3 linked regions of the Rattus norvegicus genome follow. The protein of the gene in region 3 interacts with the protein of the main gene of each other region in a pairwise test. Links are inferred from orthologs where the notes say so. Each region holds a gene or a part of one and is shown on either strand. Other genes may lie near its edges. The genes, in order: Kif5b, Taf12 and Prkar2b.

Region 1 (3,650 bases), on a different chromosome or scaffold from region 3:
AGAAATTTCTCATTCTGGTTACTGTTTTCATTTCCTTCGATTGCTTTTCTGTGCAGGATCAGTTTTTACTCTCAATCTCAGGTGTTCACTCATCTCGGTTTCTTTAGGATCAACCATTGGCACTTCATCTTGATCTCTGTCTGTGGTGCCCTGTTTCCCTCAATGATCACTATCATGTTTGATGTCACCACCTACTTACTCTGTCTGAAGACAGAGACAGTGTACTCATATACATAAAATAAATAAATAAAAAATAAATAAAAAAAAAAAAAAAAAAGAAGAAGCCTGAGGCTGCAAGTTCCCACTTGGCAGTGAGGCAAGGCTGCAGGCATGTATAGAGCGGAGGGCATTTCCCTAGTCTTGGGGTCCAAGGTACACTAATTTCCTTATCTTTCTCTGTATCTTGGTTAAGGAATAGGGAGACACAAGTAATCTAGAAGCATCCTTTGTGGACACTGAAACTTTATTACTAAACCACATCAAGTTCTATTTTCGCCTGTTATTGAAATGAATGTTTCCATAAGGGGTGATAAGCAATGAGTCCCACCTCACCATCCTTTGTGCCTCTTCCTTAAGCAACGTCAGCAGCTCTTAGCTGCTTTTCTTTCTGCTCTGATCCTAAGTTTTGTTTGATTTTTAGAATGGTACACTCTTGCCATGTAGAGTCAGTTCTACTTCCCATGTGCTGGGATCACAGGCCTATACCACAGAGCTCTGTCCTAGATCTGGACATGCTTACCTGCTACTGAACTCTTCCTAATCTAGGCACCTACTGTACTCTAGCATCTACGGCTCTTACTTACTGTTTGAGACAACATAAAATTTAAATGACACATCTTGATCTTTATTTGAAGACCTCTACATGAAAACAGGCTTTATTTAGCATTCATATAAAATCTCAAGTATGTAAAAGAGCCCTAAGTGAGAAAGTTTAAATGACAATGCTTAAGTGATTAATTACCGTTACGCCATCGGTTGAGCTCGTTTTCCAGCCACTGAATGGTGTTCCGTAGAGTCTTATTTTTTTCCTTTTCTTTTTCATACTTCTTTTTCCACTGCTCTGCAGTTAACTCTACGTTGACACAGACTGTGTTCTTTATTGTTTTGGCCCTTAGTGATGCAATTACAGAAGAGATGACATGTGTAAGGAAGAGTAATCATTACAGAAAGAAAAAAAAAAAAAGGATATGACTGAAAGTATTTTTAAGTGACATTCCTGTTTAATACATAATATAGCTAAGTAACAAATTGTTCAAGATTATCTAGTTCTTTCTTAGAACAAATTCTAAAAAAATATCTATTCACAAATAAATTTCTATCTGCACTCAATCTTTGGTAACACTAAAAATAACAGGCTGGAGAGTTCAATTCCCAGCAACCACATGGTGGCTCACATCCCTCAGTAACGAGATCCGATGCCCTCTTCTGGTGTGTCTGAAGGCAGCTACAATGTACTTATATAGAATAAATAAATAAATCTTTGAAAAAAAAAATCAAAACTAAGAAAATATATTTATTTTGCCAACTCACTTGGCAAGGCTGAAGCAGTAACCTACGTTACCTATCCCTGCAGGTCTAAGATAAGGCTGTCGGTGATTTTCACAAAGTAGCTATTTCATGTATGTTAATCGAGCCTTCAAGTGTGTCAGTGAGCTTCACACAGGCTCATATATTTGAAAAGCTTTTACTTCGTCATCTAACTCAGACATTTACTTTCATCAGAAGAAAATTAGACAATGAAATTTCTCAATTAATGTTAATGTCTGTGAAAAGTTAAAGTTTGTTAGGTCTAAAATACAGCTCTAACTTATATGACCTATGTCCTGATTCACAGTACAGGATCTAGCTCTCTGACAGTATGTCTGGATTTGAGTAGTGGCTATCTGACATTAGTAACTTTAATGCTATGTCTTTAGGCTTTGTATTTCAACAAACCTTTGACCAAAGAGGAGTGTTGACTTTGTCTCAGACTCATTGTAAGATGACGGAGAGCAGCAAATGACAATAGTGGTCCTACAGTTGCCACCTAATGAATCTTGAAGAATTCTGGTCATTTTACTGTCTCGATAAGGAACATAGGTCTACAAATAAAAACAAAGACAAAACAACAAAAATAGTAGGGTTTATACAATAATATTTGCTGTGTAACTTTTGGTCATCCTGTTTCTGCCTCAGGCACTGTGATCAGATATGCTTTCCCAGGCCTCGATTATTTCATTTATTGTAACTACTTGATTTCAAGATGGGAGTGGGTTTGTATAACACTAAACTCAGAAGACATCACACACTCATTCAGTTTTACACTTGTGTATATTCTCTATAAATAACTACCCATAAAAAAGGGAACAGACTTGTATACTCACACTGCCTTCTGCCAAAGCAGAAATGACATTTCCAAGTGCAGAAAGTGACTTGTTGATGTTCTTAGCTTCATCCAGCACGGCACCCTCAGCTCCAGTTTTACTAACCTATGTAAGATTACATAATAATGAGATAAACTTCTAAGTTTAAGATAATTTTCTTTCAACTTTCCAAATAGCCACCAATAAACAGTAGTATAAAATTACAAAAGGGAAGGGTGTTCACACTAAGGACTAGAAATCCTTAAATACCCACTATTCTTCTAATAGCCTAGTCAGAGAACTAGTTGGACAAGAATGCGATTAGAGTAATATTAAATTTTATTTCTAGTGTGCTTTGGTCAATAATAAAATTACATGTAAATCTGTAGTCTTCACTGTTATCTCTTTACTACATTATAAAACAACAAACTGGAAATCACCTAAACCATACACAGACATAATTTGCTAAAAATAAAAGAGAGTTCTAATACTACATAAGCTAACATGTGACTAAACCTAAATGGCTCCTAAATAAGAGCTGTGGTTCTAATACATAAGCTGTGTGTAAGACTTTTGGTGAACAAGACTAGGTACATCATTCTAAATCAGAAGATGCAAAATAGCATAATGGCCACAGAAGTCTTTATTAAAACATTTATATATTCTAATTTTTGACCCTTCTATACCCATGGATTCAACTAGCCAAGGTTGAGAAACATTCCAAAACAAACTTCATTTTTACTCAACATATGGTTTGTTTCTGGCCATGTCTTTAAACAATATAGTTTAACATCCACCTGCGTGGTCTCACTACATTGGGTATCAGTAGTTGTCTAGAGAGTAGTTACATACAGAAGAATGTGTATAGGGGCTATGCAAACACTACATCATTTCATACGTGACCTGAGCATCTATGGATGTTGGTATATTTATGAGGGATCGTGTGAGAGATCCTAAAATCAATCTTTATGATATCAAGGGACAAAGGTAAAGCCAAATCAGAATGTCACAGAGAAAGTTACCACGGATAGAGGTAACATACAAGAGATAAAGAATAAAATTCTAATGGCATATGCTAACAAGTTATCAATAAGAACATACATGTTAATCCAAACACCCTACAGACTGGACCAAATGTAGCTAAATGACAGTTACTTGGGAACAGGTGACTGACTTCAATTATATAACACTTGCATCAACAGCAAAATTCTCAGATTACTAAATTGAATTCCACAAGTTCTCAAGATGCAACAATATGTAGCATATAAGTTTTAATTCAACGTAAAGTTTACAGAAATGCCTAAGACC
Region 2 (4,104 bases), on a different chromosome or scaffold from region 3:
AAATTTGTCTGACTTCCCCCACAGGAAACACCCAGCACATAGCAAAAAAAAAAAAAAAAAAAAAGATGGAAGAATGCAACAGTAGCAACTGATTTGTTCTCTAAGGAGAACCATGATAGAAAAATAACGCTGAGGCTGGAGAGATGGCTCAGTGGTTTAAGGAATCTCTTACTCTCGAAGAGGATCTATGGTCAATGCCAGTTGCCACATGGTGGCTCACAACTATCTGTAACTTCAACTCCAAGGCTTCAGATGCCCTTTTCTGACCTCTTTGTGCACCAGCCATGAACATGGCATACATATATAAATGCAGACAAAACACTTTTACGCATAAAATAAATCCAAAATAAAAATCAGACTATAGTCAGTTTGCCACTTAATGGTAACTAAGCTCTTGCATCCAGGACTTTGGACCGGGAGGGTGGATGCGCCTAATAGGAAGAGGATGGAAAGATGGAATGGAATTTGTTTGGGCGGGAACCGTTAGTAGCTGAGATGTTAGACATGTATACATCGGTTTGCAAGATTTCCATTTTACTGAGAATCCTTGCCAGGGGCTAAAACCGCGTGTTGCTTACATGCCTAGCACTTGGAACAGGGAAAATAACAAAAAATGTACTCAAAGCTCAGGACTTAATGGTTTAACGGTTACTGGACCATCCCGGGCTTTGGAGTGAGAATTTTCAGTTCAAGTCGAGAACCTACATCTCTTAGGTAGAATTTCACACAAGTTTCTTCCACTAGTACATGACATTCCAAGTGAAGGACTTAACCACTTCCTCAGACAGCTCTCGTTCAAGTGTTATTGAGCTAGAAATTAAGTAATAGGCACAATCAGCCTCTCTAGTCCCCAAGTTCTCGAGCTGCCAAATAGTTGAAATCTATGCCGAACTGAGGTCCCATCCTCATATCACGACAAAGGCACCAACCAAAAATGGCGACTTGGAAGCCCTCCGAGGCCGTTGGTTACCTAGATATGAGTCGGAAAGAAACATCTAGGACAGGGATTCACGCCGAGGTAGGAGATGCAGTTGGTCCACCAGTCAGCCACACAACACACAGCAGAAAACACAACTGACCAGATAGGCGCTAGGCTCACAGCTCAACCACGTGCTGTAGTAAGGTCTGCGCCTGCGCTAGTCAGGCGCGCGCCCGGCGGCCGGAAGAGCCGCGCGTTTCCGGGTTGGAGGCGGGGAGCGGTGCCGGAAGTGCTTGGGGAGGGCCGCGCAGTCGGACCGGCTGCTGAGACGAAAGCTTCACTGGGGCAGTCTCCGCATATCATGGGGAGATAGACGCTGCTGCCTGTGAGTCTTGGGCCCTGGCAGTTGAGGATGAAGAGCGGGAGGAGGGTGTCAGGACCCAGACCCACAGCGGGTCAGTGCTGGAAGAACTAGGTTGTGGAAGAGACGGGGCTGTGAGGAGCCAGGCTCTTGGGACGGGACTTGAGGGGTTCGGGCTCGCAGAAGCAGCGGCTGTTGGGGACTCGGGCTCTGAATGAGACTTAGGAAACGGGGACGGATGTGAGTTCTGCAGCATCTGAGGGAAATCCTTCTGAGAGGGACACAGATGGTGAAGACCCTGTACTTTATAGGAAGCGAGGATAGGAACGAAACGGGGCGTGAAGACACCGGCTCCAGAGAGGTAAAAGTGGAGCCCGAGTCTCGGGCTCCTAAGAGACAGAAGCAGAACGGTAAAGTCCCAGCTCCTAAGGATTCAGAAACAGGGCAGCAAAGACTTAGGGACTGGAGATAGAAAAGCAGGCAGAGAAGACTTGAGTTTGAAAGGGAACAGAAATGGGCAGTGAGGACTGGGTCTTCTTTGGGGACAAGATCTGGGCTTTCAGACTCAAGAGTTTCTGAAGGGACAGGGATGTGAGGACCCGAGCTCCTAAAAGTGGAAGATCTAAGGGGTCCTTGAAGGCTGGGAGATCAACCTTCCAGGGAAAGAGGTTGAAAAGATTTAGCGATCTGTTCTCTGTACCCAGAGGGTTACGATATGTTCGGGGGAAGACTTCTTGGCGCTGCCTATTTGGCTTTTTGCATTTAGGCTGCTTCTTGTGTCAGATACTTAATCTAGAAAACCCACACAAAACATCTTCGTTTTTCTTCATTATTGTGAATCAGATATAAAGTTGAAAGCGGTTGAACTCAAATATATATATATATGTTACTTAAGCCCTATTCCATTCAGTCCCTGTGGAGCACAGATCTCTGCATCACAAGCAAACTGTCATAGATGGAAGGGCAGCAAAAGATCATTTTGAATTCTTTTACATTTCAGGAAAAGAGGGGCCAAAGAAAGATTAGCATCACTATGAGCCAATTCGGTTATACCGACCTCTACCATGTACAGCAAATAAGAGATGCTTGGTTGAAATTACTCGAATAAAATGCTTTTAGAATCTCTACCCTCAAACTCAGAAGGGATTTTTTTAATGGATTTTAATATTTTAGTACCTATTATGGCATTGTGTTACAATGTGAGGAAACAAACTTAAGTGAAACCCATTTTACTTACTTTTCAAAAATGTGTTGAGAAATTCACAAGTAAATGTGACCTAGAATATTTTCTAGGGATTGCTTTTAGAAGAGTGACTTGGACCTTGTCGTTTCTCTTCATAAAGATCCACGACTGAAACCTCCTCAGATGAATCGGGCAAAACTTAATCACTTTGGGTTTTTTTTTTGTTTGTTTGTTCTGTTCTCTTTCCTTCCCTCCCTCCTTTCTCTCTCTCTCTCTCTCTCTCTCTCTCTCTCTCTCTCTCTCTTTCTTTCTTTCTTTCTTCCTTTTTTAAGACAGTTTTTCTGTGTAGCCCTGGCTATCCTGGAACTCACTCTGTAGGCCAGTCCGGTTTCAAACCCCAAGAAATCCTCCTGTCTCTGCCTTGGGAGTGTTAGGATCAAAGGTGTGTGCCACCATGAACAACTTCAACACTTTCAAGCATTCCATTACTTTGTTATCACAATTCCACAGTTAAGTATGGTTAGTCATGTTGTACTATGTCTTATGTCCATAGAGGATAAGGAGTTTGTCTTAAACAGCATAGTATGGAGTAGCTTATCCCCAGATGTGCCTCTAAAACTGTCTTGAACTTTCCTAAGTGGACTCCCCTCCATGTGTAATTTGCATGTGAGCAAAATATACATAATATTTATAAAGCCTGCCACTGAATGAAAGCACACCCCTCCTCCCCCAACTATTTAGCTCCTCCTAGCCTGGAAATTGCTATGTAGACCAGGCTGGCCTCAAACTCTGAGAGCCACCTGCCTCTGCCTTCAGAGCCCTGGGATCCAAAGCTGCACCATCATACCCAGCTTCTTCCTTAACTCCTTTTAAAGTCAAGGACTGTGACGTTTAGGATACCTCCATAGTATTTGAGATCTTAAGTTCCTGTGTTTTCACAGAAGCATAGATATTCCAGGTAGAAAGAGAAATATTTGTAGACTCCTACAATAGAACAGGTTATATTTAATTTTTTTGAAAATTAGGGCGACATCATTAATTGCTAGTGTGTACTAGATGTGGACGCTTGGGCTAACATAGCCAAGCATCATAGTGCTTGACTGTGATCCCATTACATTGGAGGTAGAGGCTGGAAAATTAGGAGTTCGATGTCAACATGAGACTTTATCTCAAAGGAAAAAAAAAAAAAAGAAGCAGATCAGGTGAGGTGGTTCTTCTGCTGAGGTGATTGTCACAAAGAGGGATGATTTCAGTTCAGTCTCTGAGTCCTGAGTGATGGAAGGAGAGACCCAACCCCAAAATTATCCTCTGAAAAAGTTTTTTTTTTTTTTTTTTTTTTTGTTATTGTCGTTTTTAACATCCTTGAAGCTATTATTTTTCCGGTAGCTTAGCCGCTACTATTAGTTTTTAAGACTTTTACTAAGGGTGATGAGACTTGTACAGCCGGCACACGAGAAAGACCATCCACAAAGCAAAGGGAGGATTTGTAAAGCTAAAGCCTCTGGTGCCATTTTTTTTTTCTTTTTTCTTTTTTTCGGAGCTGGGGACCGAACCCAGGGCTTTGCGCTTGCTAGGCAAGCGCTCTACCACTGAGCTAAATCCCCAACCCCCTCTGGTGCCATTTTTAAAGGTTTGTTTGTT
Region 3 (3,919 bases):
ATTGTTAAATATACTCTGAAAATGAAGACATCTCAGCACATTTCTCAGCAAAATCCTAAGTCCCTGTTTCTCTGCAGTCTCCACACAAAACCAAACATGCTATGTGGTTTGGATGCCAATGTGAACAGGATCCCAACAGAGTCATCCAACTTCTGCTGCAGGTAATATTGTTGTTAAAACATAGGTGCTAAGCCCAAATTCATACTGATAAACAAGAGACACACACACCCTTCTAAACATATTCAAAGCAAAATGAAGAATCTTGTTCTCAAAGACTGCCTAACACGTGTACCTAAGGGCTGCGGTCTTTGAACCAAAACCTCATCAGAGAATTCTCAAATACTTGCTACTGACTTAATAATGGCACCCACAAGCCAAACATGTTTTAACTGGGAAGCTTTACACATAAATTCCCCAGTAAGTCATATTTGGCCAAAATAATATGCAACATACCACAATAGTTAAAAAACTTAACAAGTGGTTAAAATCTTACACAGACCTACAGAGGTGCAAACCTATACTTTCTGACTGCTGTATGCTATGGGGTTATAGCTTCCACGAGCCTGGTGTGTGTTTGATGCATTTATACCCTAGACAAGCCATAATGAAGAAAACAATGCTTGCAACATTTATTATAAAAGTGTGCTTTATTATAAGGAAAATTTAAATATAACCAACAATACTGAAAATAACACAGCTGGCCTCTGTAGCCTTGGTTGGGGCTCTTTATTCCACAGGCATTGGTTTCCGTGAACGTCAACACTCAGCCTATGCAATGCAACCAAAGAGAACTTGGAAAAGAGAGAAAAGAACACAGAAGGATGAGCCAGGAATTTGGGTGGCTTTTGTTCTTGTTTTTCTGTTTTTGGGATTTGTTTCTTGTTTGAACACATGGCTTCTGAACTCTGAAATAGAAAACATGTTACCTTCATGTAGAGAGCTTTTTTTCCTACGTAAAGATTTTGCAAGACTGACATTTCAAAAGCACGGCTAAAGGTGTAGGTAACAGTATAGCGTACTTTAACTTCTTGTTTACACATGATGCATTTAACACTAGCCACGTTTTCACGTACACGTAGGACTGTAAACATTCTCTTGTAAGATCGAGACAGTCACAGATGAATTTAACATACATGATACCTCTGTTCCTTAGAAACATGTTCCCCAAAGTAAAATTACCCATTTCAACATGAATTAAACTGGTGAGAATTAATGCCTTTAGACATTTGGTCAAGGGGCCTGAAAATCACATAAAAGTATATTGCTTTGGTTTTAACAATTCATCGTATTTGGCATAAAAGTAAGTATCTTGTTGACCAAAAAAAATTTTGTACTTTGTGTACTTTTAACTGTGGGCTGACTTTAAAGCTAAGAACAAGGCCTAATAAGGTGTAGGATAGAGAAAAATCCCATTAATACTCATGTATGGCTTTGCTTATACACAGACTTCTTTCCACCACCGTTGTTGAAGTTTTTGAAGGTTGGAAAGGGCAAACGCACTTGATTGGCTGCTGACCAATGTGCTCGCTGGCTGGTGCTCAGGACAGGGAAGGGCAGGGGACCACAGACACACACACAGGGTCGCAGCACTGGGACCTACAGAGCAAAGCCATGTTCTGTGGGCGTGGGCTAAGAATCCCAAATGTCTTTTGATAGGGAAGCTTTCATTTTTCTGAATAGAAGATTCGGGACTTTTAGAGGACAAAACAAATTGTCAGATTAAGATGAAATTGCCTTGAGAACCAATACAACCCTTGTGACATTAAACGTCAAAATGCGATCTGTAAGGAACCCAGGAGGTTGCTAAATACAAAGCGGGAAGCGGTGATGATGGAGAAAGGATAATGAAAGACGCAGTTATGAGCTTTCATCCTAAAAGGCTCTCTGCCCAATCATCACAACAGCTAAATTACCAGGCCCCAAAAGCCACTCAACTACCCAGGCTGCTGGCTGACAGTTGTCAAAGAAGTTGAAATGTAGTTTATTGCAAAAATATAAAAAATTTTAAAATTGCATATGATTTCCACACCATGTTACCGATAGGCCAAGGCTAACACATAACTTACTAAGCCAGAAAAGGTAGAAAATGAAATGATTGGCAATCTTACTGTCTGACGAGTTATAAAAAGAATGTGAGTGCACAAGCCACTGCCAGCTTCCCTCGTAAAGGGGCAGAGTCACTAACACGATACTTGAATAATCCAAACACACAGGTCGGCCTATGAGTACATCTTTTAATTATCTTCTTAAACATGTATGCTCTCAATATATTATAACCATTTGAATAAACCTTTCAGTCAGTTTTATGAAATAGAAAGTCGTTTTTATGATTATGTTAATTTATGAACTACCCATTAGAAAGTGATGTTAAAGCCTACTATTAAATCACTACTGTTCACTGATATATTGTAAATGGTTTCTGTTTAAAAAAGGAAAACCTGAAGTCACAGAAAATGCTTGATCTACACGAACACATCCTCGGTGGACTAACCACTGCTATGTAACTGCTTCACTAACGCGCTTTCTTCCCCACACTTTTGCTTCATGCAGTGGGCTCAACAATATCCATGTTTGTCCCAAACAGTGCAACTAATTGCTCCTCATAGGTGGCGATATTCCTCTTCATAATTTCCATGCAAGGTCCCAGAAGCCTCTCAAATGCTTGCACATCCATGGCTGAGAAAAGAAAAAACTAAATTAAAAACACCATCCCGTGAAGACTCAGGAATTGCTAGGTCATTCCTTTCTACTACGCCGTTGCAGTTTTGATATATCGACCGTGCTAGAGAATTTCAGGTAGGTATTATGAAGACACGGGGGGGGGGGGGGGGGGAGTTGAAATGTTCAACTTCGAAAAACGAAATAGGGACATCTCTGGCGACAGTCTAAAATGCTTTGACAGATGGTGGCCTTGTGGTGCAGCTGATGAGGAAATGAGGCTCTCAACACGGCAAGATGAACTTTGATGCTTCACCCTAATAATATAAACACCCCAATGGTGGTACAGGAGCGTCTCCTGCCCTGTCCTCAGGGTTTACAAGATCATGCTGTGAAGCTTTACGCATTTATACCATGGCTGATGCAACTCATAAGGCCTTCACCTGCTTCAATCAACACTTGCTTCCCTGCCTGTCCGCCCTGCCTGTCTGCCTTGTGCATTTCAGTGTTTGGCTTTGAGGCAGCCTGACTATGTAGCTCACGCTGACCTTGAACAAACTGGACTTAAATTCAAGATCCTCAAGCTTCGGGTGCTGGAATTACAGAGGGGAGACAGCAAATCTGGCTGACACGTGCACTTTAAAACCGAGTTTATAATACATAGTGGGAAACATCACCCTGCTCTAACATACCAAACGCTCTCTCAAATTGGCAAAGTTAATAAGGGAGGGTTTATAAGGCTTTATGGGCATTCTCGCATGGTATGGCAGGCACGTGAATGAAAATGAAAGCGGCCTAGCCATGTGCTCGGAGCCTCTAAATAGGCAAATGAACTCCTTCTCTAAACAAGTAGCCCATAGCTAGATAAAAACATTAGCCATCTGAGAAATCAGATTAGCATTACACTGAGAGTCCATCTACCCTCCTCCCCAGAAAGAGTAGCCTGTCATCAAGAAACAACAAAAGCTGGCAAGGTCTCTTGAATATGCATTACTGTAGCTACTGGGAAATCCTACAGAAGTTCCTCATTAGACTAAAACCAGACCTATGACTAGGCTCTACCAGTCCTAGGCACATGTCTAAAGAAGTCAAAATCAACATTCGATAGAGCTCTCCACCTGCCCATGTCTACCGCAGCACTATCCACGATAGCCAAGTTACAGAGTCAGCCTAAGTATCCCTCAACAAATAGAAAAAGAAAATACACATATATGAGGGAGTGCCACAGGCCATAAAGAAAAACAAATTGTGTCATTTGCAG

Evidence for each region.
Region 1: the proteins of Prkar2b (region 3) and Kif5b interact in binary tests that used the Homo sapiens proteins (3 or more experiments, as listed by UniProt). The two-hybrid records come from large-scale screens. The link is inferred for Rattus norvegicus from reciprocal best matches to the Homo sapiens genes PRKAR2B and KIF5B.
Region 2: the proteins of Prkar2b (region 3) and Taf12 interact in binary tests that used the Homo sapiens proteins (3 or more experiments, as listed by UniProt). The two-hybrid records come from large-scale screens. The link is inferred for Rattus norvegicus from reciprocal best matches to the Homo sapiens genes PRKAR2B and TAF12.

What each region holds. Positions count from the first base shown.
Region 1 is NC_086035.1:56,198,742-56,202,391, reverse strand, and holds part of Kif5b (kinesin-1 heavy chain), read right to left. Parts: intron 2,469-3,650; coding exon 2,364-2,468; intron 2,082-2,363; coding exon 1,936-2,081; intron 1,111-1,935; coding exon 962-1,110; intron 1-961. UniProt on the Homo sapiens protein: Microtubule-dependent motor required for normal distribution of mitochondria and lysosomes. Can induce formation of neurite-like membrane protrusions in non-neuronal cells in a ZFYVE27-dependent manner.
Region 2 is NC_086023.1:149,755,666-149,759,769, forward strand, and holds the start of Taf12 (transcription initiation factor TFIID subunit 12), read left to right. Parts: upstream 1-1,228; 5' UTR 1,229-1,304; intron 1,305-1,349; exon of another isoform or gene 1,350-1,374; intron 1,375-4,104. UniProt on the Homo sapiens protein: The TFIID basal transcription factor complex plays a major role in the initiation of RNA polymerase II (Pol II)-dependent transcription.
Region 3 is NC_086024.1:54,290,515-54,294,433, forward strand, and holds the end of Prkar2b (cAMP-dependent protein kinase type II-beta regulatory subunit), read right to left. Parts: intron 2,677-3,919; coding exon 2,543-2,676; 3' UTR 629-2,542; downstream 1-628. UniProt on the Homo sapiens protein: Regulatory subunit of the cAMP-dependent protein kinases involved in cAMP signaling in cells. Type II regulatory chains mediate membrane association by binding to anchoring proteins, including the MAP2 kinase.